2 linked regions of the Canis lupus familiaris genome follow. The protein of the gene in region 2 interacts with the protein of the main gene of each other region in a biochemical or structural test. Links are inferred from orthologs where the notes say so. Each region holds a gene or a part of one and is shown on either strand. Other genes may lie near its edges.

What was found.
Region 1: the proteins of CHM (region 2) and RAB7A are reported together in a solved structure, tested with the Homo sapiens proteins (2 studies listed by BioGRID, with this or other methods). The link is inferred for Canis lupus familiaris from reciprocal best matches to the Homo sapiens genes CHM and RAB7A.

Annotation. Positions count from the first base shown.
Region 1 is NC_049241.1:2,796,813-2,800,312, forward strand, and holds part of RAB7A (ras-related protein Rab-7a), read left to right. Parts: intron 1-366; coding exon 367-585; intron 586-2,272; coding exon 2,273-2,401; intron 2,402-3,500.
Region 2 is NC_049260.1:67,086,421-67,090,432, reverse strand, and holds the start of CHM (rab proteins geranylgeranyltransferase component A 1), read left to right. Parts: upstream 1-1,212; 5' UTR 1,213-1,272; coding exon 1,273-1,321; intron 1,322-4,012. UniProt on the Homo sapiens protein: Substrate-binding subunit of the Rab geranylgeranyltransferase (GGTase) complex.

The sequences.
Region 1 (3,500 bases), on a different chromosome or scaffold from region 2:
TGTATATTTCAGTGAGTGATCACCTCCCTGTATTTCCATCACTCCCAGAAAGTTCCTAGAGTACTAGATCTTAAGTTTTCATCCTGAACGTTACATAAATATCTATTCGTGTGACCACCACCCATGTCAAGATAAAAAGGTTTTGTAACAGAGTTCAGACTCAGTGTTAGCCCTTGCAGAACATGTACTCACACATGCTCTCTCTCCCGGGCTGTTTGGGATACTCTGGTGCTGTACTCTGCTTCCTGAATTCTGAAATCTGACTTTGCTTATCTCGGAGTGGCTGCATGATGCAGCTCGTTTCCTCTGATGCCCCTCACTCCTAGTGCTGTGCCCCTGAAGGGATAATGTTTTTGTCTCTCGCAGATCTGGGACACAGCAGGCCAGGAACGGTTCCAGTCCCTTGGTGTGGCCTTCTACAGAGGTGCAGACTGCTGCGTTCTGGTATTTGACGTTACTGCCCCCAACACATTCAAAACCCTCGATAGCTGGAGAGATGAGTTTCTCATCCAGGCCAGTCCCCGGGATCCTGAAAACTTCCCTTTCGTTGTGTTGGGAAACAAGATTGACCTCGAAAACAGACAAGTAAGTGCTAAAGATAGTGGGAATCCTAAATGTGGAGGCTCATGAATCTACCCTCATTAGGGTCTTCTTTTAAAAGTGGCAGCTAAGTTTCAGATGACAGGTACTGTTTTTAGTTTTGATTGGTAAAAACCCATGTGGCTTAAGGAGACCAGCATCCAGTATCTGTGTGTGTGTGTGTGTGTGTGTGTGTGTGTGTGTGTGTGTGTGAGAGAGAGAGAGAGAGAGAGAGAGAGAGAGAAGACCCCACCATGGGGGGAGAGAAGGAGGGATGACTTAACTAGTTTCCTGCCCAGCCTTGGAATCAGGCCTTGCTTCCTAATCTACTAAAGGCATACTGTTTTTGCTGAGGGAAAACAGAGACCATGAAAGTCTGCAAGGGTACAAAGTAGCAAATCCATTTTGTGGAGTTGCCCATACTAGCCATTGTTTTGGTCCTGCTGAAATAATTTGACTTGAGGCTGGTTGCAATCTGCATTTTGGTCTTTTGGATTTAAAGGCAAACTTGCATTTAAAACCTGGCTCAAAAAAAAAAAAAAAAACCAAAAACAAAAAACCTGGCTCATGCACTTTTAATCTGGGAATATTTCTTGGAGTCTCAGTCTTGACTTACATGACAAGAATACTCAATGACAAGAATACAAATGACAAGAATCAGATGACTATACCCAAGAGCCCTGGCACCTAGGAGCAGCTTGGGAAATGGTGACTTTCTAGTTGACCGTTGCTGTTTTCCTCCCCTCTGAGGGACACTGACTTCTGAGTGACTTGTGGTTTCGTGGGTTCTGTGTGAAGTCCAGAAGGGCTCTAGAAAGGTACCTGTGGGAATATGAACTACCTTCCGGCCAGCTGCCTTTGAGGGCAGGGGCCCAGAAGATCTGGTTTAAATCCCTATGCTTTCTCTGCCTGGCTATGACTTTGGGCCATTGCCTTTGCCCTCTGAGCCTCAGTTCTCCTTCTGCATTTGAAGGAATTAGATTTTGTCATTCTTGAGTGCTCTCCTGCCCCTCAGGGGCCTGCCTGGATCTCCATGTGTGCAGAAGATTGCACTCTGGGCTCTGAGCAAAATTGCTCTGGTTTACTTTGAAATAACATTTTTCTTGGGAGCATAGACTCTTAATTATAGCTTGGTTTATTTCTGGCCATTGATCTCTTTTTCTGCCTTTCCTAGGTGATGGTCTTCTCGTGCCTGAAAATGAACTAGGGGTAGGGGAAGGAATTAGGGTAGGAGAGGTAGGGGGACAGTGAGAGCTGCAGAATTCTTTGGCAAGAGGGTGTGGTACAGGTGGTGTAATACTAGCAGTAATGAGGAAGATCTACTGCAAACCTTAAGACCAAGCTGCCGGGCATTTCCTGGGTTGGGACCTCTGAGGTCCCAAGAGAAACGATTCACTACTTCTCAGGCTGCTTATTCCTTTCACCGTTGTCTGTAAGTGTAGCTAGGGGTCAGAAACTATGGATTGTAGAGTGGGCTTGGGTTTGAGGCCCAGCTGTATCACACAGAGCTAGCAACATGACCATGGACAGGTCTGCAGCTCCCTTCCTCCAATCCTGCACACCCTCATCCCAAGTTTGCTCCCTCCCCTGTGCTACCTGTATAGCCTCGGTACTGTGACCTTTCCTAGAGAAGGTACAGTCCATGCTCTCTGCTTCTGTTAAGAGCATACGTACATCTTGCTTCCTCTTCCAGGTGGCCACAAAGCGGGCACAGGCCTGGTGCTACAGCAAAAACAACATTCCCTACTTCGAGACCAGTGCCAAGGAGGCCATCAATGTGGAGCAGGCGTTCCAGACGATTGCAAGGAATGCACTTAAACAGGTGGGTCTCTGGCAGCTGTCTGGCTCCCTCTGGTGACTGACCATCAACCCAGCCCCATGCCTGGCTTTCCTGTCCTTAATCTTTCTTAGTGCTTTTTCCTGTGTAGCCAGAAGAACCCGTGTTGTTTATCTGGGAAGGTAATGAGACGTTCTGCTAAAGCTTCTATAGAAACCCTACTTGTTTGTGAATAATCTATCCAATGCAGAGGCAACAAAGGCAGGCTGAAGCCACCATTATTTGGGTATGTTCTTTATTCTTCAGGAGGCCCTTGGTCTGGTGGTTCCTTCTACCAAAGGAGGGGATAAACTTGAATTCAAATCCCAGGTCTGCTACCCATCATTACGTATGTTTTTTTGTTTTTGTTTTTTGTTTTTTTGTTCTGTTTTGTTTTGTTTTAATCATCTCTGCTTCCATCCCCTCATCTGTCAAATATGAATACTGGCTTTGCAGAGTGGTTGTGAAGATGGAATGAGATGGGCTCACTCTTGGTGTTCTCATAACTGGTTCTGTTTGATCACCAGAAGGAAAGCTTAACCAGAAGTTCTAGGAATTGCATTCCTTGAGTGAGATTTTCTTTCTTATTTATGTTGTTTACTCAGCTGTTCCCACAAGAGACCGTTACCTCTTGTTGGCATGAGGGAGTTGAAAGCTCTCTTGATTCAACAGCTCTTTTGGGGCCAGTGCATTAGGGCAGATCATGAGGCACCATCAGTCATCTGTGGTGGTCAGACTTGGGGAGTGGGTGAGGGTCAGAGGTGAGGTGCACGCCAGAAGGCGCGGCAAACAGGTAGGAAGCATGTGTTAGCTGTAAAGGGCACAACAGGTTTTGCCAGATCTAGGAAACTGGGATTATAGAAAGCAGCAGTTCTTAGCAGAACAGGGCATCTGAACCTGTGGGAAAGGAAGTAACTGGATTGGGTTGTTCCAAGAGCTGGAGGCTGCACCGCGTGTCCCCTGATGAAAGGAATCAAGCCTCCCGAAATGCTGGGAGCCCCCACTGAGCAACACTGATAGCAGGATGCAGGTCTGAGGCCTTTGCTTCCCCCGTCCCCCTTCTTTTAACCCACCTTCACACTTAGGTCAGTAACCCAATGTGCTT
Region 2 (4,012 bases):
CCATAAATGCAAATAATTTCAGTGCAGTATGGGAGGCTATGATAGGGTGTTAGCACTACATAGGGAAATTTAATCCAACATACGGAGGAGATAAAAGGAGGAGGTGGTAGAAGTTGAGCTGAATATTAAGGATATGTTAGCTAGAGAAAGGGAAAATCATTCCATGCTGAAGGAAAAACTGTGACTGAGAAACCACAAACAGTTCAGAGGACTGTTGGTGTAAGGGAAGGTCTACTACTAGCACTTTCTCTTTGAAACTCTTGTAAAATGACTACACAATGACCCCTAAAGCCCCCCTGTCAAACACAATTACTTTAATATAAAGGTCATTTTACCTTGATTACTTCTGCAGCAGTTTATCATAAGAATCTTGTATGGGGGCAGCTCCGTGGCTCAGCGGTATAGCGCCGCCTTTGGCCCAGGGCGTGATCCTGGAGACCTGGGATTGAGTCCCAAGTTCGGCTCCCTGCGTGGAGCCTGCTTCTCCCTCTGCCTCTGTCTCTGCCTCTCTATCTGTGTCTCTTATGAATAAAAAAAAAATCTTGTATGGACTCCTTGTATACGTATAAAAAACCAAACTCAGAACCATTTAAATGCTTATCAAGCAACTATTATGTTTCATATCTTTTTTTCCGTCCTGTAGAGAAAGGCTAATTTTGTAAAAATATACTGCCGGGTGGCTGCTTGGACTAACTAGAACAAATACAGATGCAATTTAGGTTTCATTGTGACAAAACTAAGGCAAGAGGTTTTTTGGTGGGTTTTCATTGGGGAGACACGGAGACTAAAAAGATACGGGATAGTTTGAAAGGGCTGGTGTGAAAAATTATGTTTCAAGGGGACAAAACGAAAGTACACACACACGGGGGAGTAAACAAGTTTCCAGGCCGCAATGAAAATTTCCTTTGTTCACAGAGCAATCCTCTTTCAATTTCAGTCCGGCCTTCATATAAACCAACAATTCTTGCTTCATGGGGGGGAAAAAAAACCCCAGGTTTTCCCATTCATCCTATCTAGCGGAGTAAAAATCTCCATCTCATTACTACCCCAAACCTCCAGGCTAAATGCGCTACTACACTCAGCCTAGAAAATAAATTGCGTCTTTAACATTCACGTAACATTTCAAGTAAAATGTAGCCGCCTACCTGGATCGGCCACCCACGAACTACAATATCCAGAATGCATTGTTTTTCCTTCCGTCTTTTACAAGGGCAATGCCTTACTAGATCTTATTTCCACAAGCAGTAGTCACATGACACGTTTCCTTTCAAGATGGCGGATAATCTCCCTTCGGAGTTTGATGTGATCGTAATAGGGACGGGTATGTGTGGCTCTGGTACTCCCCTAACGAAGTGTAGGAAATCTGTCTCCTTCCTACCTTCTCTGCCATGGCGAGGCTTGGGGAGAAATACTAGGGGTTGAGGAAGGGAGGGAGGATGGGAAGGAAGTGAGGTAGTGTTGAGTCAGCGCGGGACTTCGAAGCTCCAGGGAGGGGCTGGACCCACCGTATTTAGCGCCATTTGAGTAGGGGTCGATCTGGTCGATGCAGATGCTGAGGTTGGTTGCTGCGGGTGATTCTGTAATTTCGTTAGAGGGGGGTGGGTTTGTGGTGTCATGAGAATGGAAGGTCGGGATTTTACCAATGGAGACGCCTTTGGCGCGACATGATTCCCTCCTCGTTGATTTCAGGGTGATATTCCCCATTATTTTGTCTCGCCCTTTCTTAGGAAGTTTTCATGTATTTATGTAGTCCTGGGGTGTAGTGCAGCTCGGATACGACTTAGTCCTTAGTTTTTCGGGAAAGATGCCCAGTTATCGCCCGTGTGCTTATTAATATACTAGGACGAGGACACGGATTCTTTTCTATTGTGTTGAAAAGCCTAGGGAATTGTATTTTGTTGAGGTAGCCATTCCTGCTTTATGATGCTGAAAGACAGCATTTTGCTTTCTGTCACCCACCTATCTACTCACAACTAAATGAGCTGAGAAGAAGCTTCTGTGAATTCCATTACAGGTGTGTGACCTTATCTTCCCCTTGTTTTCCCATTTATTCTCCATGTTTTGGGCGGAGCCAGAAAAATACCCTGCAATTTCTAGTTGACAAATTCAACGTACAACAGGTGGAGAAGACATTTGGCAGCAGTTGGTATTTTGTTTTCTTAATATTGTAAAGGGTGGATTTTAGATGGGATGAAGTAGGTTGTTGAGTGGGGTTTTCTCCTGTTTGCATAATGTGGTAGGTCAGAGAAGCTCTGGTGAATGAGAACCTGTCCATTGTATTAATGAACACGTTTTCTTTCAAACAGTAGGGGCAGCCATGTTTCCAGGGCAGAAGTAAAAATGATAGCTACCTAGTTTTGAATGCTAATTATTTGCTAATTGATGTGCTAAGCATTTTACAAGCTGTATGTAATCCTCACAGCAGCCTGGTTAGAGTAGGTATTTGGTACACTTTACAGAAGAGAAAAGGGGAGCTTAGAATAGTTGCTGTGTGCTCAAGATCACACAGCTAGTAAGTTTCCAAAGGCCCATTCCATCTCAGAAGGAGAATCAGTGGTTCATACCTTCAGAGTTAACCCATATTAATAGAAATAACTGAGAAAAATTGTTTGGAGACCTTGCTTGGCCTTTAAATAGCTGTTTGAATTGCTAGGCACTTAATCTCTCTGAGCCTCAGTCTTGTTTTTAAATACAGGCAGGGTAAACTAGATAGCCTTTCAGGTATTGTCTAACCAAAAATCCTCTCATTCTAATTGCACCTGGATAATTGGTCTCAGGATAGTGAGGACATGTTTATTCTTATTCTGTCTGAAAACTGCATGGCTGCAGATAACTTGGCTGTAGCTGCTGTAAACAGATGTTGAATGAGAGCAGGAAAGAGTCAATAGAGTGATGATTCATTTGTTCTCTCTAGTCTATCCTAAAACCGAGAACAACATCCATTTTTGAATAGTTGTTATACCATACTTCAATTCTATATTATTGCCTTTCTTTTTTGTTACCTAGGAACTTGGGGTGTTTTAAAAATTTTTTGAGTCATTATAAGATTTTTTTCTTATCTGGGTTCAAATTTTAATTGATAAGAGTGTTAATTCCTATTATTAAATGCTGTTAATTCTTAAATACTTTGCTTTCTGGTTCAGTTCATAATATGGACTATATTCATCCTTTGAGTCTGTTATGGTAGAGGTAGGAAGATACTGTGAGTGATACAGAAAATTGCATTAGGTGGCATCTGGTGTGTTTAGAAAAAGACTCATTTTACACTTTCCAGTGAGAGTAATATTATTTCTCAAAGTATGGGAAGAACTTATTCGAAGTTAATCTTAAAAGTTACTTTTTTTCATCTCACTTAATGGTGAACATACTCAAGTTTATCAAGCACATTGCATAAATTTATGTTGTGAAGCATTGTATCTAGGTATATCAAAATGGAAAAATTGGATAAAAGTCATTTCCTAAATGGTTCCAATTATTGTTTAATTTGAATTATTGTTAATGTATTTGGAATACTTTTCTTCTGAAATAGTTTGCTGATAATAGCCTTAAAAATGTTTGCATTAGGGGCACCTGGGTGGCTCAGTCGGTTAAGCATCTAACTCTTGATCTCAGGGTCATGAGTTCAAGCCCCATGTTAGGCCCCACACTGGGTATGGAGACACATATATATATGTGTGTGTGTGTATATATATGTTTTCTTTTTTATGATTTTATTTATTCATTAAAGGCACAGAGAGAGGAGTAGAGACCTAGACAGAAGGAGAAAGGGAGAAGCAGGCTCCCCATGGGAAGCCTGATGTGGGACTCTATCCCAGGACCCTGGGATCACACGCTGAGCTGAAGGCAGATGCTGAACCACTGAGCCACCCAGACATCCCTGTTTTCATTACTAAATACTAGCTTGAGTTAATCTTAGGAAAAGCCAGCATTTCTTAGATTCAATTTTACTGACAAAAGTAGAATTAATCATGCATGTATCACAAACATGAAGAAATAGGCTATGAAATGTAAT